Arabidopsis thaliana: one gene and its partners. The protein of the gene in region 4 purifies or fractionates together with the protein of the main gene of each other region. This does not show direct contact. Each region holds a gene or a part of one and is shown on either strand. Other genes may lie near its edges.

Region 1 (6,056 bases), on a different chromosome or scaffold from region 4:
ACCAGTGACTCGGTTTGCTTCATCAATTTCGTTCTTTTGCATCTCCTCGTCTTTCTTCGGTGTCTTTTTCGGAGCCCTATTTCCACCCCTTTTGCCCTTTCGCTTGGGTCCTCCATCTTCTTCGTCGTCAGTCGGAGGATCTACGTAATTCGCCAGCTTCGTAGAAACCCTCCGATGCCTACGGAGACCACCGCGTCCGTTCTCTTCTTCAACCCTAACAACACCTTCTTCCTCCACAGAATCCATTTTTCGAAAATCAAAATTCTCAATCGTCCTCGGCGAAACTCTTGCAGCCCCCAATCAGCTACGAAAGAAAACCCTAGACACGGGATTTAAGGCTGATTTTTTATTTTATTTTGGGGAAACTGAATGGTTTTCTCAGATAGTAAAAAAGTTTTGGTTTAACTTGGTCAAATCTTTGGATTTATTTCCCGCTCTTTTCTTTTCTTTCCAAATTCTTTTTTAAATCATGTTTTTTTTTTGCTAATACAGGGAGATCACAGAAACCAGATTGTATATGAAGATGTTAAAACTTAAACTTGATTATTTTTTATTTAGCAAATAAGATTATATTTATTTACCCGTTTATCTCCATGAGATATGATACCTAATTACCTATGATATATCATTGGATCAAACGGTTGCAAGTTGCTGATATCACTGCAATTGGCATCATCAATGTGTAATGTGTTAAGAAATTAAAGTCAAATTAGCATTAGACAACACACATTAGTATAAACTAAAAGCTTATTGTTTCATTACGTTAGAAAACTGCAATATGATTGCGAAAGTACGTATTGCAAGTCAAGCATATAACATTTGTTAATACAGATGGATGACAGATTAGTAGTCAAGTTAATCTTTTTTTTTATTGAGAAGGAAGTTAGAGGGAAACATGTACTCTAGAGAAGACCAAGACTTTTAACGCATCTGTTCTATTCATTGTTATGCACAACTGGATGATGAACAAACAAAACTTATTAATCATCATAATTGACATATCGACTCAAAAATTATTAAGTCTTTTGCCATACATGTCTAAAACTACCAGGCAACGGTGTAGTAAACAAATATTATTTGTGTTGTTTACCATTATTTAATCAATTTATTTTGACCCAGTCAAATAACTATTTCATCTAATTTTTTGACTCAATCAAATAAAGATTTTTGTTAGGCTTTTTAAAATTAAAAAATTGGTAATAAGCTCGTACGAATCGGCAACTAGAACCAATAAAACACGTAAGGACCGAAGATATGAACCTGACAACGATATTCAAACTATCGGATTCCGTTGTGTGAGACAACGACTCATGGAACAAATGAATATATAAAATCGATCCTTATTTATATTTCCTCTAATTTGTGATCGAAGAAGACACAAAAAAGTTCGGAGCAAACTCCCATCAAACAAATCACGCGGATTCTCAGAAGACAATAACATGAAGGTATGTCTCCTGTGTACTCAACAACAAGTAATAACTTCGATTCTCTTGTGAAAGAGAGAGACTTCTCTTTGTGATGTTAAGGAGTTCTCTTATTGTACTCAGCAAAAGATCCTGATAAGAATTGCTATGACTGATGACACAACTCGAGCAAAGGCAATGAAAACTGCGGTTCAGTTTAAAGGTAACAATGATACAAACACTAGAGAACTTGATGATTGTAATTCTTGTTGAATCTAAAGATTTATCGCATTGGTTTATAGGCGTGAACGCTGTGGAAATAAAGGGAGATCACAGGAACCAGATTGAGGTGACCGGTGTTGAAGTCGATATGATTGCTCTAATCAACACACTCAGGAAAAAAGTTGCATTTGCGGAGCTTGTTAGCGTAGCTAAAGTTGAACCACCTAAGGATGGTGACAAAAAGCCAGAAGAAGAAAAGAAACCCGAAGAGAAGAAACCCGAAGAGAAGAAACCTGAAGAGAAGAAACCTGAGCCATGTTGTCAACCATGGCAAAAACCTGAGCCATGTTATCAACCATGGCCTCATGATGGATATGGTGTGCCATCTTCCTATCCCTACCCGTGTGATCCCTACAATCAGATCGGGGAACCCGTTTACAATCAAGATCCCAATTGCAGGATCATGTGAGATAGGTTTCATGTGGAAGATTAACGGAGGAGATAGCAGTTTTTCTATACTAAGATTGTCAACATGTTAATGCAATTTGATAGTCAGATTTGTTAAATGAATAAAAAGTCTTGAGCTATCAGTATCACACAAATTCTCTACTTGTAGATGCTCTTATAACATGTAAAGCCAAATCTTGTTATCCATGGAATTCCATTACAAAGTAACTCCTTACTAGAGCATCAATCATACTATTTCTCAATCAAATCTTTCCTTTGCCAGAGTTGCTAGTTACATAACTCGTACATTCTCCTAAAAATTAAACTCACAAACCTTCAACATGTTCCAGAGCGCTGCTACATCTAACGACCTCTGCCGCGACCACGCCCACGGCCACGTCCGCGACCGCGTCCAACAGCTTTCCCTAAAGAAGAAAGAAAGAGAGAACGAATAAATGGACTGATAAAGAAGTCTTTTAGCTTATGAAGACGAATATTACAAACACCAAAAATGAATGAAGCAGTACCAGCAACAGGCTTCTTAGGTTTAACTCTAGGAGTGTCTTCCACAAGTAAAGTCTCGAGGTTCAAGCTATCAGGAAGAATGTAGTAGCGAATATTATTACCCCTCAAGCTAAGATGATCAAGTGTTACTGGGTTTTTCCCCTTCAGGCTCATCTTCACTGTCTTCAAGTGAGTGTTCATGCTCACATCAACACCTGCCCAAATCATCAAGCTTAAACTTCAATAAATATACCTTTATGACTACTGGCTCTAACTGTGTGTTTACTCAACCTATTCATGTGATCACAAGGACGCGATTAGGGCCAATTGAAAATAAGGGAACAGATCGCGACTTGTATAAGACCTAGCAACGGAGAAATCGAGAGAGAAGAAAAGATGAGAAGAGCTACAAAGAAACCGGAAGCTAACAATAAGAACTTACCAGTGATGGTTCCATGGACCACAGTCCCATTCTTCAGCTCGATAGACACAGTTTCATTGTTTAACTTCATCAAAAACCTACTCGATCCAATCAAAACCATATAACACAAATCAGCTCAGGCTCAATATTGGGAATGGATTCCATGCCAGGAGCTAACTAAGATTAAGAACAACATGAATTTTCTAAAGAAAAGAAGAACTGAGAACGAAACAGTACCTGACGAGCTTCATCTTTGGATGCGAAGAAAGAACAACCAAACAAAGAAATTGACGAGGAAACAGCGAAAGGTGTGAAAACCCTCAAAACCCTTCTTTCGCTGTGAGAGACCTCACGATGGAGCGGGTACAGATCCGATTCCGGTTTTGGATCCATCAGCTAAATTACAATATTGGGCCCAAAAATGTAGTAAGGCCCATAAAGTCCAATGGTGGACCAGTAGATGTTTCAACCAGAAATCTACATACAGTTGGTTCAGCAAACCGGAAATTGAACACGAAACGTTAATTTCGGAAAGGCGTAATAAAAGCGCGCGAGAGGTTGATAAACACGCGTCGAAGAATTCGCGCGTGAAGATTGAACGACTTCAGACGAGAAGACGCTTTTCAACGTTCTCTATGCGTTAAACAGTTGACTGTTGACAGATCTCCTCCGGTAGAGAGAGAGAGAGAGAGAGAGAGAGTTCTCTGAAAAAACTGCGTAAATCCTAACTCGTCAATGGCGGATTCGAGCTCCAATCAGAATCGATACACTCCTCCTAATCAAAGGTAACTTCTTCTTCTTCTTCTTCAGTGGTCTTTGATCTGCTGATTTCGAGTGTTCTTTATTCTACTGATTTCGCTACTCCGTTCTTACCTTTCGATGTTGCTTCTCCGTGTCACAGGAAGGCTTCTGGGAATCGCCGGAAGTCGGGAGGTATGTGAGCTCTCTCTCTCTCTCTCTGTCTTCTTTGCCTCAGTCGTTCTTTATTGATTCTTAATCAATTCGGTTCTTAATTCCGAGAGTATCTAGTTCTGTGGAGATTATAGCTTAGATCAAAGATTGTCGATGAATAGAAGTAATCTTGTTTTGTAGATTCAGGAATTGATTGCATGCGAATCTGTACACATTGTGTTTGTGCATAGTTGGTAACTTCAAGAACCGTTTCTAAGAAAGTGAATTATTAGGAGTTTAGCCTGAAATTCAGATCTCGCTCTCTCTTTATTAGCAAATCCGCTGGTTGATTCATTTCTCCATGTGTGTACTTGACCCATTTGTTTGCCTGTTTTCTTGAAAATAAATCGTCGTTCAAGCTATATCTGGTTTTGCTAGTATGCTATGGTTCTTGGCTAAATAAAGAGTGAAATGCAGATCGAACAAGTAGCCAACAGAACAACGATAATGAGAGAAATCAGCCTCCTGCTACTGGTCTTCAGATGGAAAACATATCCCAGACCCAGAGGATAATAACAATAAAGGACTGCTCCAGGAGTGCAGCTTATCAGCTCATGAGCCAACGTATAAATCTGAACTATCTCTTTAAACATTTAGCTGGTTTATTCTTTGCTCTGTATCACTATCTGGTCGTTCTTCTATCAACTGTTGCTATGCTAAGCATTTGTTGAGTCAGTGCTAGTTTTAGAAATCTTTGAACTTAATAGATAAGGTGTGTTGAATTCACTGCTTATGCAGTCAGTTTTATGTACTTGTCTTATTTACGTGCTCTTGATTTGTCATGAACAGGATGGGCAGCTGAAATGCATCAATACGACGACCCAACTGTGGATCTATCTGGTGAGATTAAGGGATTCTAAGTTTTCCTTTGTCCTTTGTGTCTATTATACTTGTGCTGCTTGAGTTGCCTCCAAATACAATCAGATATATCTATGTTCTTATCTGGATCTCTGTCTTCCGGTTAGTCAAGTATAACTGATTTTCAAGTTTGCCTACTTTCTCTGTTTCACAGTGCGACCAATCATGTACTATGGAGGGAGTGTTTGGGGTAAACTACCTCATCAGGTGGAACTAACTTCAAACTCTTATCATATGCTTCTAGTTTTTCTAAAGATGTGAGTACATGAATGATGAGACCCCATCTCTTGTTTTGTGTCAAAACAATTACAGATCCTGGCTGCAGCAAACAAGACATTACCTCCTCCATCGCCAACGGATTACATGACTGAAGTGCGGCGAGGATTGCTGATGCCAAAAGCCAACAATTGAATGGTTCTTGTTCAGATGATGGAGCCCATATAGACTAGTGAAATGGTGTTTGTTGAGATGGCACAAGCGGTGGTATGTCAATGACTTTTATATTGTGTGTGTGTAGGATAACAGATATTGCTTTTGTCAGGATCGGTTGTTTTCTCTGGTCCCTGAAAGTGTAAAAAACCCAAACCAGAGATTTGAGTAACAATCACGTTACCATCTCATTTTAGCTTAACTGGATTACAAATTCATTGCTCCTTTCATCTGTCTTACAAAGTTTGGTTTTGAATTAGACGGGAAATAGACCGTCTAGCTAATAGAAGCCAGTTGTTACAAAATTTATGTGAATCCAAGTACTAAAAGTAATAACACCAAAAAGGCAAATGTATAGTAGTACATACTATTATCTGTATGTCTGAAAAATCCCATTGGTCGATCAATGAATAAACACAATGCGGCAGATGCAATCAATAACCAGTTGACTTGAAACTTAAACTGACTAGACCGATACTGGTCGTGAAAAAGCTAGGATTCGTAGCAAGTACTCCAAAAATTAAAGAGAGATTTATCATTTTGTCCTTTTCAATCAAGTTTATTATTTTTGTCTTTAAATGATCAAAACATGTTAAGTTAGCTGGTACATTGCAATCATTTTTCCACATCTTAAGCCGACGAGAGACAGAGAAACAGAACGAAAGGATTTTTACTCTTTCTTAATGAAACAGAGCTCTTTATTTACCAGATTAGTAATAATAATGATATAAAAAAACGAATTCTAACGATACAAAGAATTTTAAAATTAGTTGAATTCTCAACTGCTTCTTCACACACACTATCTCATAAACAAGATATAT
Region 2 (6,267 bases), on a different chromosome or scaffold from region 4:
GTACAATTCAACTGTTAGCATATAAACAAAACAAAAAAGATTAAAAGCCGAGATTTGTTTCAATAAGATTTTGCCCTACAAAGATTGTCTGTTTCTCTTAAAAGATGAAGTGGCATTGTAAATTAAAAGCCTCCAAAATGGTATAAAAGTTTAGCTTTGGTCTAACGAAAACATCAATGGCAAAAATAGAACCAAAAACGTCAATGGATATGAATTTTCCTGTCAAGTACTTCGTGGTAATTGTATATTCTTTTCTTTGTTTTTGCTCTGATAATGTGATCTTCTTCTTCTTTATGAACGAGTATTGCTAAACACAGGTTGATGCATTCACTGAGTCAGCCTTCAAGGGGAACCAAGCTGCAGTGTGTTTTCTTGAAGAGGATCATGAGAGAGACGACGTGTGGCTTCAGTCTATGGCCTCTGAGTTTGACCTTCCATTGACGTGTTTTCTTATTCCCATCCCCGGCTCCGAACCACCACGTTTCCTTCTGAGGTGGTTCACGGCTGTAGCCGAGGTCCATCTTGCAAACATTTTTGTATTTTATTACTCCCTCCGTTCCATTTTGTACAATGTTCGATTTATTTGATTTTGTAGATGGATATATGTGGTCATGCAACACTAGCATCAGCTCATAGTATCTTCTCAAACAGTTTGGTTGGTTCATCTGACACTGTCGAATTTTCCACCAACTCGGGGATTCTAACCGCTAAAAGGCTGTCTGATTGTGACTCTAAAAGATCTTTCTTGATCGAAATGAATTTCCCTGTGATTACAACTTGTGAGTACAGCTCCAAGGATGTCTCCATCTTCTCTAAAGCCTTGAATGGAGCTACCATTGTCGATGTTCGAGAAACTAAAACTGATAGACTCATCTTTAAACCCTTGATAGGAGCTTTCAAAACAACTTCAACAGACCAAATCATCGTATGTATTTCAGATTTCCTTAGAAAGAAAACTTGTGAACTTTCTATTTTTTGCTTATTTATATGATTTGATTACAGGTTGTGCTTTCATCTTGGGAATCTGTCATTGAATTTCAGCCAAGAGTGGATGATATCGTGAAATGCCCTGGCAAAGTGATGATTGTTACCGCTGCTGCTCCTCAAGGATCTCCTTTTGACTTCTGCAGTCGACTCTTTGCTCCTAAACTAGGGCTCAATGAGGTTAAGAAACTAACCTGCAACTTCGTGCATGGGAGCAATTCTCTGCTTTTTACTTGTGGTAGCCGTTACCAAAAGTGTTTACCGTTACCTTATTTGCTTGGTGCTTTTGTTCCTTCAGGACTCTGTATGTGGAAGTGCACATTGTTCATTAGCACATTACTGGAGCCTCAAGATGAACAAGTGTGATTTCGTCGCTTTTGCGGTAATTCATCTTTCTCTGTAACTAGCTAACTAACATTTCGAAGCAAGAAATAATCACACATATTAACGAATCAACGAATTTCTTTTCAGGCTTCGCAAAGAAGTGGAACACTCAAGGTTCATTATGATAAGGAGAAGCAGAGAGTCTTGCTTACCGGGAAAGCTGTGACTGTCATGAAAGGCTCTATCTTAGTTTAATCTTTCGACTCTTTGCCAAAGTCTTGAAAAATAAGGTCAAGATTTTGATTTCTCGAACTCCCCACGTTTTATCAGACTATGTAATAAAGTGATCAAGTCAATAATAAAACATATTGAGTGATGTATGTTTGGCAATAACGTTTCAAATCTCAAATTCATGAAAACTTAAAGAGATAACAAGAATTTGTCTTAGTGACACCAAATCTCACTACAAGATAGATCTTTTACAATCCTGCTGTTACAAACCAAAAAGGACCAGACTTTTGATTACTGCAAAATGCTTAACGACCACCACGGCCACGTCCACGACCTCTTCCACGACCACGTCCCCGACCTGCTGGAATCTTACCTGATACCAAAGAGAACAATAGAAAGATGAGTCTAAGCAAAAACAAAAACAAAAACAAAGGCATAGTTCAGAAAAAAGAAATGTTTTGTTACCTGCAGTTGGCTTTTTGGGTTTGATTCTTGGAGTGTCTTCAACCAGCAAAGTCTCCAGATTCAAACTGTCCGGAAGAATATAATAGCGAATGTTGTTTCCCCTGACACTTAAGTGGTCTAATGTAACTGGATTCTTCCCTTTCAGAGTGAGTTTCACAGCTTTTAAATGAGTGTTCATGCTAACATCTACACCTGCATTAAGTCATCACAAGTAGATAGTACCAGTCAGTGAGTTGATTGATAATTGCATTCTAAACAAGATGATGGCAGAAAAAGGAAACCAAACCAAACATTAACAGCAGAGACCACTTGTATTAGATCAATCAGACTAAAAGAGAAGTTGAAACAAGAAGCCACACGGTAACTGTTCTGTGAAAAATCAGAGATTTTCTTTACAAGGAAAGAGATAAGAGTGACTTTCATGTGCTAAATCTAATCATCTGCATCTGACTCGACAAGTATCACTCAGTTCTTGCTAACAAGAGGGTTACCAACAAAGCATTTCGAGGTAAAAAAATAATTAAGACTCAGCTAAACTCTAACTTCTTCAGATACTATCACTAATAACAGAATTAAGCCTCAGGATTTGTTAACAAGAGAGGTCCACAATGATAAAGAGGGAAACTAAAGTAAACTATCTCATATATAATCATGTGCTAAACTCACTCCCAGAAGAACTAAGCATTCTCATACACCCAACTATAAAGCAAAATAAAATGTATCATCTCCATCTGACTAGACCACCATTATCATTCACTTATTGCAAACAAGAGAGATTCAACACCCACAATGCATTTCTAGGTCTATTAACAGAATTACACATCAGAATTAGTAAATTCGAGAGCTCCATTGGTTACAACCATCAAAGGAGAAAGTAAACTACCTCATGGGTGATCAAAGTTTGAAGAAGAACTAAACTATCTCATAAACCTCGATTCAAGTAAAATCTAGTGTACTCATCTGCATCTGACTTGACCAGTGTCACTAGGGTTAATACCAACAAAGCATTATTAGGGGAAAGACACTAGCTAAACTCAAACTACACCATCAGAATTTGTGAATACGCGAGTAACCATCGATTACAGGTAAGCATCGTAGATTTTACACAAAACCCTAAACAGCGAATAGAGCTGGGTTTTTAAGAGAAGCGTACCAGTAATGGTTCCATGAACAATGGTTCCGTTCTTAAGCTCGATTGAAACTGTTTCGTTGTTCAATTTCATCAAAAACCTGCGAAAAAATCCAGATACGAAATCAAACATCGAAGAGCATGAAAACAAAGAGAAATCTCAAAATTTCGAAGCAAATTCCAATTAAACCGAAGAAATAAAGAGAATCCGAGTAGAAACCATACCTGACGAGCTTCATGGTGAGAGAATGAAGAAGAAGAGGAGAAAATTAGGGCTTTGAGGAGAGCTCGAAACAGCAATGGCAAGAAGCAAGAGCGGGAGGAGGAAAAGCAGCAATAGGGGAATTTATGTTTAAGTCCCCAATTATGGATTCTGCTTCACACCGACGGTCTCTTACTTCCTTGAATGTTTGGTTATACCCTATTTGTTTTGAACTTATCAATAACACCCTTCTCAACTTTTTATTGAACAAAAACAACCCCAAATGAAAGAAACAGAATAATTAACTCAAATAATCTGATTTGCGGAATCTAATCACTCACTTTAGAAATTTATCTTTTATCAATCACATTTTGTTTAGTTTTGAAAAAAAACTGTTTAAAACTTTTGTTTAGTCAAAATTAACAATACAATGATAAAAAATTTCATCATTAGCTAGCTAAATAGTAAAAAAACAAAAGGTTTTAGTATTCTTGATTCGGCCTTTTAGCCCAATAGTAACGTTGGTGTTCGAATCCAGTCATTCATCTTGGTATTGTTGATCCAATTTTTCCTAAATCCATTAATAATTGTGACAACTAAATTATGCAAATTTTTCAACTGAAAATAGGGGATATTACATTATGAATGGAATATACAGAGTCTCTTATTTGGATTTTTATTACTAATCCAATGGTGACGAAGCATACAACACAAGAATCTTTTCTTTTCTTATCAACACAAGAATCTTTTCTTTTCTTTTGTAACATCAACACAAGAATCTTTCATTTTATTTTATTTGATTCTACTTTTCCATACTAATGGTTGGGTCATCAATAAATCCATTCCTCGGGGAGAAGTTTCTCCGGCGAATCAATAGGATTTTCTGCTTCAATCTTGATAGGTGTTGTTGCCAACATTTCGCTCTTCTTCTTCGAATCATTTTCTCTAATTTCTACATTCAAAAGAAACAATGTTACCAATTTCAACCAAAATATATCTATAGTTCAAACTAATTTGTAATATATAACACAATGTATTTGAATAACGGTCGATGAGAACAAATAATGGTTGGAAAAGAACCTGGACGAGGAGAAATATGGATACCGTTGTTGTGAATGTTAAGATTGAGTGCTTGAACTACACGAGTCGGGAGAAGCACCGGTGAGCAAGCTATGACAAGAGAATTTTGTTTTCATCAATCAAAATTGTATAACATTAAATCATATATTAATGAGTCTATATAGTAAAGGCTGACTAACGTAAAAACCAACAAATCACAATTTCTTTATGTCAATTGTCCTACAAAAGCTACGAAATAGATAGAAAAAAATGGTAATAGATGTATGAATCCATGATATATTTCGTAGTAATCGAAGAATTGAGGTTTTTGTGTTTATATATGTTTAAAACAAAAAACGACAAAAAAAATCATCAAAAATTTTCAAATTCTTCTAAATTTTGTCTAGCTCTAAATCTTCAATCTCAAGAAGCAGTGGTTGTAAAAAAGTTATTTTTCTTTTGAATATAATTTGAACATTATTTTCAAAAAAAAAAAAACGACTTAACGACAAAATGTAAGTTAAAAATCATGTCAAATCAACTTTAACCTGAAACTAAAAGAATTTTAGTATATGCAGTTGGTAGAATTGATTTTATGAAATTGAAAACATTATGCACCTTTATTTGTGTTCATAAATACTTAGTATAGAGTAATTAATAAATAACCTGTTTTTTTGGTGGGTGGATGAGAAGCCGTGGCTGGAAGAAAAACTCCGGTGCCAGAAGTTGTACGGCCCGGTGTAACCAAGAAAAATGCTTGCATACGATCCTCTCCTTTACTCCTTTGCCAATTGCTTTGGTGCTTTTGTCTTGTATTATAGTTCTTCAACACACAAAAATATATATACAAAATATTTGAGCTTTAGTTTGAAAATATATAAGATATGTTTAAATACATACGTTAATGTCCATAATGATATTTCCTCCAATACCGTTAAGAGATTGTAACCAAAAAAAAGATTGAAAAGAAATACCAAAGGAAATGTTTGTCTAAGAGGAGGTGCCCCGGGCCGACGAAATTCACCGTTGCCGTGGTGATGGTGGTTCTTGACATATTTCTGCAACTATGTGAGAATTTAATTAACAACGACTTCGATATAGAATAGGAGAAAAAAATAACAAATTCAAATAGAAAAAATTTAGATATAAGATAATATAAACCTGATGTTTGTTGGAATGATCAAACAATGGATCTTGAAGAACATGATGAGAGGGTGGCCATATTTGCCTATCCTTGTGACCGATGATGTCACCCATTTGAAACTGACCAAAAAGAAACTTAAAATTTCAAAAGTATTAAACACTTTGAATTAATCTTAGAAGAAGAAGAAGAAGAACATTGAGAGAGACTCAATGGAAATGTTTCTTTGTTGACAAAAGAAAGAAGAGAAGAGGTTTTGATTGTCCCCAACTTCTGACCTGAATCTTAACTATAAATATTAATGGGTTTGGAAAGTAGAAGGAGAGATGATGACGACAAATTTGGTTTTATAGAAAACTAATTATTATGTTGACAACAAAGAAGAGTTTCAATGATTTTATTATTTGAATTTGGTTTCATCATTACTACGAGGATGAAACGAGAGTTACACACCCTTTCATTTCAAATTTTCGAAACAAAACAAAAATAATCATATCATTTTCTACTTTGGAAAGTGTTTTTTTTTTACCATTATTCACATAAACCGCGTGGTAACCGTGAGGTAACGCCAATATTAATGAAAACTACTAGACTATAAAGTTTTACTATTAGAAGCTTTTGTTTGTTGCAATTATTCATATAAACCGTGTAGTAACCGTGAGGTAACGTCAACATTAATAGAAACTATTAGACTATACATTTTTTTACTATGGAAAGGTTTTTATTGTTATC
Region 3 (4,784 bases), on a different chromosome or scaffold from region 4:
AAACCATGGAGAAGTGAAAATAGGAGATCTTGGTCTAGCCACTGTCATGGAGCAAGCTAATGCCAAAAGTGTGATTGGTATAGTTTCTATTTCCCGCTTGTTGGTGTTACTTACATATTCACTTTTTCTGGTTTAATCCAAGAAGACCGGATACAGTTGTAGCCATGCTATATTCTTTGTCTGTCACATTTGAATTTCTCTTCTTTTGGGGTCAAATTGTATGTTGCCAACAGGAACCCCGGAGTTTATGGCACCCGAGCTTTACGACGAGAACTACAACGAATTGGCTGATATTTATTCATTTGGGATGTGTATGTTGGAGATGGTGACATTTGATTATCCCTACTGTGAATGCAAAAACTCTGCTCAGATATACAAGAAGGTTTCATCGGTGAGTTAGCAACAAAGACATATATGCCACATAATCCCTGTCAATAGTTTACGGACAAGATTTTAACCGATTCTTCTTCTTGGTGATTTCAAGGGAATAAAACCTGCTTCACTCTCCAGGGTTAAAGACCCAGAAGTAAAACAGTTTATTGAGAAATGCTTACTTCCTGCATCCGAAAGGCTGTCAGCAAAAGAGCTTTTATTGGACCCTTTTCTGCAACTAAATGGTTTAACAATGAACAATCCTTTGCCGCTTCCTGACATTGTAATGCCCAAAGAAGGCGCATTTGGAGACCGTTGCCTTATGTCTGAAGGTCCTCCTACAACACGGCCTAGTAAAACCTTGTCGATAGATCTTGATGAAGACAGTAACCTGCCTATTGTTACTTTTAGCGACAATTCAGGATCCAGGTGTATTGAGGTTAGACGCGCAAAGAGAGGGAATTTCTTTGTCCTCAAGGGTGAAGAAAACGATGAGCAGTCTGTGTCCTTAATTCTTCGTATAGTAGATGAGAATGGTCAGTTCTTTATTCTGCTCCAGCTAAGATTCATTACTTTCTTCGATATTTTTGCATTCTGAAACTTAATATAACTGTGTCTTGTTGCACAGGGCGTGTGAGGAACATTCATTTCCTGTTCTATCAAGAAGGGGACACTGCTTCTAAGGTGTCGAGTGAGATGGTTGAGCAACTCGAGTTAACTGACCAGAACGTCACGTTTATAGCCGAGCTGATTGATATACTACTTGTCAACATGATACCCACCTGGAAAACCGATGTCACAGTCGATCATCTCATCCATTCGCAACTGAATCAGAACTCAAGAAGTCATCATAACGAAGCAAAGCCACAGAAACAAGAGGAGACTGTTTTTCATGATACTTGTGAGTTGGTTAGTCACTCGTGTAACTCAGATTGCCCACGATCAGATGAGGAAGATAAGCAATGCGTCGATGCCACCAAAGGAGAAGACAAGAGCTCCATTCAAGAAGTAGAAGAAGCAACCGAACCAGTAAGTTTGGAGGAAGAAGAAAGGTTAAGACAAGAGCTGGAGGAGATAGAAGCTAAGTATCAGGAAGATATGAAAGAGATAGCAACGAAAAGAGAAGAGGCCATTATGGAGACGAAGAAAAAGTTGTCTCTGATGAAGTTAAAGTAATAGCCAAAAAAGCTCAAAGAAAACGTTGATACTGATGAAGAGCTTTTGTGTTTTTAATCTCTTTTGTTTAATTTGTTGGTTGGAGGAGAAGTGTAGAAAGATGAAGGGTTTCTATTTGATTAATTGAGATTTAATTTGGTTGGTTGTTACAAGTTAGAACATAAAAAATGGTTCCTGTTAAAATGTTCTAAGAGATTGTCCATTATATATGATTTTGTATAAATTGAACATGTAATTAGTTAATAGCCAACTATTGTAATAAAAGTAATCAAGCCTTTTCGTGTAAGGAATCAATCAACAGAGACGAAAATGTAGTAATTAATTATAACCATTAAGAGGAAGTCGGGAAACCAAAGAAATCTAACATTAAGTCTTTGAAGAACACAAAGCATAATCAAGCATAGAGAACAACATGGCAAAATCATCAAAATCAGAATCACTGATCTCCAGGAAGTGTCTTGATGATGTCGGAATCACCAGGATCAACGATGCTGAGGCAAGAAACTCGGAAGTATTTACCACAAGCAGTACCCAAATCAACATTGTTGCCATTGTAGCGATGAACTCCAACTTTAGCAAGCATCGCATAGTATTCAATCTCTGACCTTCTCAACGGTGGGCAATTGCTAGATATCAATATCAGCTTACCTAAACCCCCCAACAATATCCAACAATTATTCAACTAAATTACGAGGAAGACGAACACTATAATCAATCGATGAAGAGGGATTTTAAATTTTTACCTTTGGAGCTGCGAAGGGATTTGAGAACAGACTTGTATCCAAGAGTGTACTTTCCACTCTTCATCACAAGAGCTAATCTGCTGTTGATTCCTTCATGGGACTTCTTCGCCTTCTTCTCCGCAACCATTTTTCACCGCCGGGAAGATTCAGATCGCAGGTTTACAAGAGAGAGTTCTTCTTCGGGTTCGGGCGGCGCAAAATGATAGTTTATATAGCGAGTGCCTTAGAACCCTTAGGGTTTTTTTGTTTTCTTGTCAGGAGACAGGAGGATATAAGAAGCCCAAAATAAACTCGACCCAAGGCCCAAACTAAAAGGCCTATAACTTCAGGATTTAGGGTATGAAAATTTCTAATTTACCCTTGAATTTTGGCGGGATAGTTTGGGATGGGACCAAAAATTTGGCGACTGGAGAAAATGAGAAAATCAAAATCACTGAGAAAGAAATTTCGAGAAATCTGAAAATCGGAAGGAAGAAAACAAAAACCTTTCAATTGAAGAACGGAGAAATCATCATCCGATGGGTCGATTAGATGTAGCTGCGGCGAAGAGAGCGTACCGGAAAGCAGAAGAAGTGGGTGACCGGAGAGAACAGGCGAGGTGGGCTAACAATGTCGGCGATATCCTTAAGAATCATGGAGAGTACGTTGATGCTCTCAAGTGGTTTAGGATTGATTACGATATCTCCGTCAAGTATTTACCTGGGAAAGATTTGTTACCTACTTGTCAGTCTCTTGGCGAGATCTATCTCCGCCTCGAAAATTTCGAAGAAGCCTTGATTTATCAGGTAAGCCCTCTTGAATCAATTGCTTTTTCCTACTTGGTTATTGTTGGCTTCCTGAATTTTCCGTGAATAATTTTGGTGTTTGAGTTTTTCATTTTGAATTTGTGTTTTTTTCTGGTGGTTGCAGAAGAAGCATTTACAGCTAGCTGAAGAAGCTAATGACACTGTGGAGAAGCAAAGAGCATGTACTCAACTTGGACGTACTTACCATGAAATGTTCTTGAAGTCTGAGGATGATTGTGAAGCCATTCAGAGTGCTAAAAAGTACTTTAAGAAAGCCATGGAACTTGCACAGATTCTCAAGGAGAAACCACCTCCTGGAGAATCTAGCGGATTCCTTGAGGAGTATATTAACGCACATAACAACATCGGTATGCTTGACCTTGATCTTGATAATCCTGAAGCAGCCCGTACTATTCTTAAGAAAGGGCTGCAGATTTGCGATGAAGAGGAGGTGAGAGAGTATGATGCTGCTCGGAGTAGGCTTCATCATAACCTTGGAAACGTTTTTATGGCGCTGAGAAGTTGGGATGAAGCAAAGAAACACATTGAGATGGATATTAATATCTGTCATAAGATTAATCATGTCCAAGGAGAAGCGAAGGGGTATATCAATCTCGCTGAATTACACAACAAGACCCAAAAGTACATTGATGCTCTTTTATGTTATGGTAAAGCTTCTAGTCTAGCGAAATCTATGCAAGACGAGAGTGCATTGGTTGAACAGATAGAGCATAATACCAAGATAGTCAAGAAATCCATGAAAGTTATGGAAGAATTGAGAGAAGAAGAGCTTATGCTTAAGAAGTTGTCTGCAGAAATGACTGATGCCAAAGGCACTTCGGAGGAACGAAAGTCTATGCTCCAAGTAAATGCTTGTCTTGGAAGTCTTATTGATAAATCTAGCATGGTATTCGCATGGCTGAAGGTGAGTTTTATAACTTAAACACTCCTTCCTTTTTAGTCCTATCACTCCACCCCATGTTCGCATTTATTTGAAAAGTTTCCAGAAGTTAAAGTTGTCCATCGTAGGGGTTTTTAATGATGAATAAGCATTGTGAGATTTCATCAGGTAGTATGGAGTAGGAAAAATATGCTATTTTCTTAGATTTGATTTAAGTTTTGTGAACTTCTGCTATTGACACTGTCTTTTCAGATCAGTCAGGAAGACTATATTATCAAAGAATTACATGATTCTTGTTCTCTCAAGAAAACCTATCTTTTGAATGCTGGGATAATATCTTTGTTCTGAACTTGCAAAGTAAAGTTATTATGTGGCAAAACGATGATTATTCTGTATCATACGGATACTGAGTGATCCAAGTCTCTGCATCACTGTTTCAATGACTTGTGATATAGTTTTGAAAGTTAAGTAGGAGGCTGCCATTTGAAGTTTGCATGCAACTAAAGGGTTGCTATTTCTTCTTTGAATGTCTTAGCATCTTCAATATTCAAAAAGGAAGAAGAAAATATCAGATGAACTCTGTGACAAGGAAAAGCTGAGTGATGCCTTCATGATTGTTGGAGAATCTTACCAAAATCTCAGAAATTTCAGAAAGTCCCTGAAGTGGTTCATAAGAAGTTATGAGGGACATGAAGCAATTGGTAATCTGGAGGTGAGATTTGTTTGCTTGCACGATTAATTATAAAAACCTATGTTCACTACTGTCATCAGAATTTGATTCACAAAACCAGAAATAATTCATTAGGC
Region 4 (5,715 bases):
CTATTTGCCTAACTCTTGAAGGCAAGAATCTTGGCCCTGAATGCCTCATTTTTCCTCAAAACTGGTGGACACTTTGTTATCTCAATCAAGGTCAGTGCTCTTATCCTTAATCAAATTCAACAATGTTCTCCTCTGTTATTATTCAATTTGTATTTCCGTCGCTAAATAAACATGTCTCATCTGTTCAGGCCAACTGTATCGACTCTACAGTTGCAGCAGAAGCAGTCTTCCAGAGCGAGGTGAAGAAGCTGCAACAAGAGCAGTTTAAGCCAGCAGAACAGGTGACTCTCGAGCCGTTTGAGCGTGACCATGCCTGTGTTGTTGGTGGTTACCGCATGCCGAAGAAACAAAAGACCCCAGCCTCATAGAGGAACTGTGGACAGTAGTGCCTGTGTATTAAGACTTATTTACTGGGTTTTGTTTTTATCTCCTTGCTTGTTGTATTAAGCTAGAGATGGATAATGCTTTTATGTCTCATTTGGAAAATTTTATCCTCGTTTTAGAACTAATATATATTGATGCAACATTTTCGTCCAATGATTGTATCTCCATCAGTCTTTTCTATGCTTGTTTTTGCTTGGCTATAAGAACTACTGTCCATTTTAATCCTACTTGTTTCTGCATGCTGAATTGATTGTTGAAGTAGTTTGTTTTGAACATGATTATGCTCAAGAAAAGGCGTAAAAGTATCACTTAGCTCTGAAAGGAACTCATTTTTTTTTGGTTAATAAAATTTTAAACACAAACAAACCGACTAAGTGTTATTGACATAAGTCTCAATACAGTTTCAAGTAATATTCGGCTTCTTCCACTATTGGATCAAAGTTATAGGCGCCTTCTTCCATCGGTAGCGCATTTTTAAGTATTGCCAATTGGCGTGACCAATGAAAATAGTAAGTTTCAAAAGAAAACGGGTAATCAGCAGAGGTAGAATCATTGTGGCGTCTCAAATCTTTAATTTTCTCAAAACAACGCTTCTCTAGATTCCCGACAAGGTTGATACATTGGCGTAAATCGAGGTGTTCCAGGTGAGGACAACCGTCAAGAATGGCGTTTAAGCCTGTTTTGGTTAGTTTGTTCCCACAAAGCTGGAGATGGCGTAGTTTAGGCATGCTTTCTGCAATTGCTATGGCATCATGATCATCATCATCCGAACTTAAGTAAAAGAGGCGGTTTAGCATCAATGTCTTCAGATTTGGACAAGACAGCCCTGCAAGTTTCATAGACTCTCCTGACAATGATATTCCTGAAACCTCAAGCTCTTCAAGCATTGGAAGTTTCACAACTGCTTGAACAAATCCATCGTCTGTTATTTCTGAGCACATTAGTCTAAGGCTTCTAAGATTACTTGACCTACAAGTAATGGTGTGTAAAAAGTTATAAATCATAATCTTGAGATATCTGTTTTTAACAGACACTTGAAGACTTACATGAAAAGTAATCAAAAGTCAAAACTAGAATTAGAGGAGAACCTCTCCGCGATGTATGTAAGGAGAGAATCACTCCCGAAGTCCCCAATGTTGATCTCCAGCAAGCCACCCTCGCTACGATCAACGGCGTTACGACATATCGCCTCAGGATTGTTCACCAGTACTGGTTTGTTGTAACTCAAGATTCGCATGTCGATTTTACGCCATATGGATGGGTCTTTACAAACATATCGTCACGATCTACACACTTTCTGAGCGTTCTCCAGTATCTCAGTCACGCTAAGACGTAGCAGAATCAAACACATCAAATCCGTCGGAAGATCCGCCCAGTTTTTTGGCTCTTCGTTTTTCATCAGTGAAGACAGCGGATCCATTTCTGATGAGGATCAAAATGTCAAATCTGTGAAATATATATATCAGAAAGTCATTTAGTTTTAGGCCTTCTTTGATTATTTGTAGATTCTAAGTAGTTTTTGGTTTTAGTTTTAGGCCTTGAATGGTAGTAGATTCTAAAATGGTTTCTAGTTTGCATAAAAAAGTTTCCTGAAAAGCTAAGAAATCTAAATTTTTAATTTTTTATTAATTAATGAAAAGCAAAAAAAAAAAATCTATTTATGCAAACTAGACACCATTTTAGAATTTACAATCATTCAAGGCCTTAATTGTTTATTAACTAATGAAAAAAAAATCAATTTTATGAGTTTTTTGTCCAACTTCGTGTGATTTTTTTTCCTCTTCTTGTTTTGTTTAAACTAATGATTGTTTTGGACTTTAAAGTCAGAAGGCATCTCTGATTACTTGATCTGCAATATAAAGTTATAACAATAAGATGCAAAATTTTACAATCTAGTCCTTATGGCACTAAGTTTACGAAAACAATTCATGTCTAATAAGCCCATTACCTGAATTAATTATTGGGCCTTAAGCTCCTAATATTCTGACCTTTTGTATTTCAAAATCATGTATTCCTTGCATAACAAGAAATCTGATGGTGGTGATTCGATAAAAAGAGTTCGATAGGATCTGAAATCTTCCTACAAGAAGTAAACTGTTTAACAGAATTTGTTAAATGTAATAAATAAAAACTTTTCCATATTTATCGGAAAAATAAATGGAACCTTTCCAGCTTTCCTATACCAACTCCAAATTCCAATAGATAAACATTCTTAAACCCTAGCAGGGGCTCGATAAAAACTAAAAAATAAAAAAACCAAACACGAAAGCTGCAAACATCGATTAACATCAACCTTCTCTTTGTTGCTTTCGCTCTCGCTCTATAGCAAAGATGAAACCTCCCCAAAGAGGTTAGAACCCTAGCAGCCGTTTTGTTTTACTACTTGTTTAATTTCTCTGTTCGACCTATAGTATAGGGTTGAGGGTTGTTAACTCCAAATTCGTTTTGTCACAATATATCTACCTGAATTGCTTGTTACGTAAACTGTTTTGAGTCTTCACTTCTTCAATCCAAGTTTAATAGGAGATTTAATAATACTCTCTTCTGATTAGTTAATTTCGGTTTTATCTGTATGATTATGCTCAGGACGTGGTGGTGGTGTTAGAGGTGGAAGAGGTTTAGCCAGAGGCGGTGAAGGAAGTGCCGTAAGAGGCAGTGGAAGAGGCGGCGAAAGTGGCCGTGGAAGAGGGCCTGGAAGAGTTAAAAGTGAATCGGACGGTGGAATTAAGGGAGGAAGCAAAGTGTTAGTGACACCACACAGGCACGCAGGAGTGTTTGTTGCCAAAAGTAAAGCAGATGCTCTTGTAACCAAGAACTTAGTTCCTGGTGAAATCATTTACAATGAGAAGAGAATCTTTGTTCAGAACGAAGACCGATCTACTGTTGAATACAGAGTTTGGAACCCTCATAGATCTAAGTTAGCTGATGCTATTACCACTGGTGTTGATAACATTTGGATCGTAAGTCCCATAACTTAAAGTAACAATCTCTTTTATTCTTCTGTTACCGAAACTAATGAATACTTGTTTCTTGAAATTGTAGAAACCTGGTGTTAAAGTTCTGTACCTTGGTGCTTCTTCTGGATACACCGTGTCTCATGTCTCTGACATTGTTGGTCCAGTAAGTGAACACTAAACCTTAAACCCTAACTTTTAAGATTGAGTGAGTGTTTTCTCTCTATGTTACTTATATCTAGCTTTTCTGATTGGTAGGAGGGATGTGTTTACGCTGTTGAGCATTCTGATATTTGTGGTAAAGTTTTGATGAACATGGCGGAGAAGAGAACTAATGTTATACCAATCATTGAAGATGCTAGACATCCTGCTAAATATAGAATGCTTGTGGGAATGGTTGATATCATATTCTCTGATGTTAATCACCCTGAGCAAGCTAACATATTAAGTCTCAATGCTTCTTATTTCCTCAAATCTGGAGGGCACTTTATGATCTCTATAAAGGTTTGTAACAAAACTTTTTTGACCATTGATTCAAATCAAAATCATTCTCTTTTTAGTGTGCATTGTTTGGTTAACTCTAAGTTACTTGTTTCAGGCGAATTCTATAGACTCAACAATTGCAGCAGAAACTGTGTATCAGATGGAAGTGGAGAAGTTACAAATGGAAGAGTTGAGACCAACAGAGATATTGCATCTTGACTCTTGTGAGGAAAAGCATGCTTGTGTTTTTGGTGGATATCGCTTGCCTAGGAAGTAAAAAGCTGATACTGCTATCTAATTAGGAAGCTGATACTCTTTACTTAGTTTGTGATTGTTAAAATTCATACACATTCATGAGGCTTTAAAATTATTATTTTTCTCTGATTCTCACTGTGATTTGTCTTCTAACTAGTATGAGTTTTAAGAAGTTGAGTTTTGCAAAAACAAAAGGTAGAATACACATACATTTTGAGTTGAATTCTAGTATTTATATTTTGGTTTGTTTTATCGAACGTGGAACTAACACAACGTTACATTGAAGAATCATTCATTGTGATTTGAGATTTTCAATGTGATTTTAAAAGTTTGTTATCGATAATATGATTTTGTGGAAGTGTAATTTCAAATTTGTAGACAGAAAGTGAAACTCTGCTTGTTCATCAATTTATGTTTCCTTAGACATAATTGATAAATACATTGTTTTGTGTTTATGACAAAGAGAAGACGATAATTAGCTGAAAATAATCACATTATTCAAATATGTTCCAAAGAATAAAATTTTTGCACTATTTGCTATTTTCAGTTCTGCCTTCTAATAGATTAAACTTTCGTAATGAACTTCATCCTTGAAAATTTAAGAGTAAATTTGAAATTGGTCATCAGGTCATGTATTAAAGGGAAAAATAACAAAATAAAAATGTCAGAAGTGGGATTTGAACCCACGCCCTCTTACGAGGACCAGAACTTGAGTCTGGCGCCTTAGACCACTCGGCCACCCTGACTTTTTGTTTGTATAACTACACTAAACTTAATTGACATAGATTAAACGGATACTAATGCAAAATATGAAAATAGGCGCAATATCAATGTCTGCTTGAGCTATATCATATTATCATTGAAAATAGACCAATTGGCTGTAACATTGAAAATAAAAGAAATAAGATGGCTGGACACGTGGAAAACAAATTGCAAAAGAAAATGATTGAAGGAAATGTGTGGATTTTCGTGTGTCGATGGTAAGCTTCTATCAACTTCATTTATAACCTTTTTCTTATATGGGTTAACAATAACACAAGTAACATGTTCACCAATTATTTGTTCTACAAAAAAAAACTAACAATTTGGTAAGTTTAGAAAGAGAACCAGAACTAACCATAATCAATTCTAAAGCTATACCGTTTAAACTGACTAGTCTCTCTTCTCTTTTGATGTCTCATTCTGCAAAATTTTCATTAGGAGAAACATTCAGTTTTTAGACTATTAGTACACATCATATACAATCTATCTACATTTTGTAAAACTCAAATGTGTTAATTAATCAGATCTAACTACATTTGTAAATTATTTATGCTCTTTATACATTTTCAAAATGTAAAGATCCACAACAAGAGGAATGGGTTTGTTCTTAGTCCTATTCCCCGACCACAACAACAACGACTCTTCTTCTTATTATTCTCCGGCAAAAACTACCTTCCGCTCCAAATTATCCTCTCGTCTTCTCCTCTCCAAGGCTGAATCCACAATCTCAAGCTGCATCATCCTCCTCTTCCTCACTCTCTTCCTCTTCACTCTCTCTACATTCGAAGAACCTTCCTCTCGTTTTCCCGCCATTTCTTCTCCTCACTGGCGATTTCTCCTCAACCGCAACATCATCTCTCGTCGTTTCGCTCTACAA

The links.
Region 1: the proteins of AT5G52490 (region 4) and AT3G07590 fractionate together in Arabidopsis thaliana (co-fractionation; one large-scale study listed by BioGRID). This does not show direct contact.
Region 2: the proteins of AT5G52490 (region 4) and AT4G02840 fractionate together in Arabidopsis thaliana (co-fractionation; one large-scale study listed by BioGRID). This does not show direct contact.
Region 3: the proteins of AT5G52490 (region 4) and RLK902 fractionate together in Arabidopsis thaliana (co-fractionation; one large-scale study listed by BioGRID). This does not show direct contact.

What each region holds. Positions count from the first base shown.
Region 1 is NC_003074.8:2,420,338-2,426,393, reverse strand, and holds AT3G07590 (Small nuclear ribonucleoprotein family protein), read right to left. Parts: upstream 3,344-6,056; 5' UTR 3,249-3,343; coding exon 3,235-3,248; intron 3,096-3,234; coding exon 3,019-3,095; intron 2,941-3,018; exon of another isoform or gene 2,805-2,940; coding exon of another isoform or gene 2,792-2,804; coding exon 2,600-2,791; intron 2,498-2,599; coding exon 2,436-2,497; 3' UTR 2,407-2,435; downstream 1-2,406. Other genes in the region: IBM1 (Transcription factor jumonji (jmjC) domain-containing protein), read right to left, coding at 1-246; AT3G07600 (Heavy metal transport/detoxification superfamily protein), read left to right, coding at 1,440-1,445, 1,548-1,626, 1,706-2,094; AT3G07580 (uncharacterized protein), read left to right, coding at 3,733-3,782, 3,899-3,930, 4,366-4,512, 4,738-4,788, 4,961-5,013, 5,119-5,217. UniProt on the Arabidopsis thaliana protein: Involved in splicing regulation.
Region 2 is NC_003075.7:1,261,831-1,268,097, reverse strand, and holds AT4G02840 (Small nuclear ribonucleoprotein family protein), read right to left. Parts: upstream 3,472-6,267; 5' UTR 3,373-3,471; coding exon 3,359-3,372; intron 3,235-3,358; coding exon 3,158-3,234; intron 2,965-3,157; coding exon 2,935-2,964; intron 2,197-2,934; coding exon 2,005-2,196; intron 1,913-2,004; coding exon 1,845-1,912; 3' UTR 1,639-1,844; downstream 1-1,638. Other genes in the region: AT4G02850 (phenazine biosynthesis PhzC/PhzF family protein), read left to right, coding at 318-515, 596-925, 1,003-1,164, 1,283-1,366, 1,456-1,563; AT4G02830 (uncharacterized protein), read right to left, coding at 4,166-4,287, 4,416-4,505, 5,061-5,217, 5,369-5,458, 5,556-5,651. UniProt on the Arabidopsis thaliana protein: Involved in splicing regulation.
Region 3 is NC_003074.8:6,451,071-6,455,854, reverse strand, and holds RLK902 (Ribosomal protein L7Ae/L30e/S12e/Gadd45 family protein), read right to left. Parts: upstream 2,553-4,784; 5' UTR 2,419-2,552; coding exon 2,292-2,418; intron 2,197-2,291; coding exon 1,985-2,196; 3' UTR 1,837-1,984; downstream 1-1,836. Other genes in the region: WNK6 (with no lysine (K) kinase 6), read left to right, coding at 1-77, 234-391, 485-908, 1,001-1,548; TSK (tetratricopeptide repeat (TPR)-containing protein), read left to right, coding at 2,810-3,076, 3,201-4,001, 4,513-4,689.
Region 4 is NC_003076.8:21,296,142-21,301,856, forward strand, and holds AT5G52490 (Fibrillarin family protein), read left to right. Parts: upstream 1-2,715; coding exon 2,716-2,734; intron 2,735-2,970; coding exon 2,971-3,344; intron 3,345-3,426; coding exon 3,427-3,504; intron 3,505-3,596; coding exon 3,597-3,842; intron 3,843-3,936; coding exon 3,937-4,098; downstream 4,099-5,715. Other genes in the region: FIB1 (fibrillarin 1), read left to right, coding at 22-90, 189-368; AT5G52480 (RNI-like superfamily protein), read right to left, coding at 777-1,353, 1,473-1,621; AT5G52500 (uncharacterized protein), read left to right, coding at 5,434-5,715. UniProt on the Arabidopsis thaliana protein: S-adenosyl-L-methionine-dependent methyltransferase that has the ability to methylate both RNAs and proteins. Involved in pre-rRNA processing.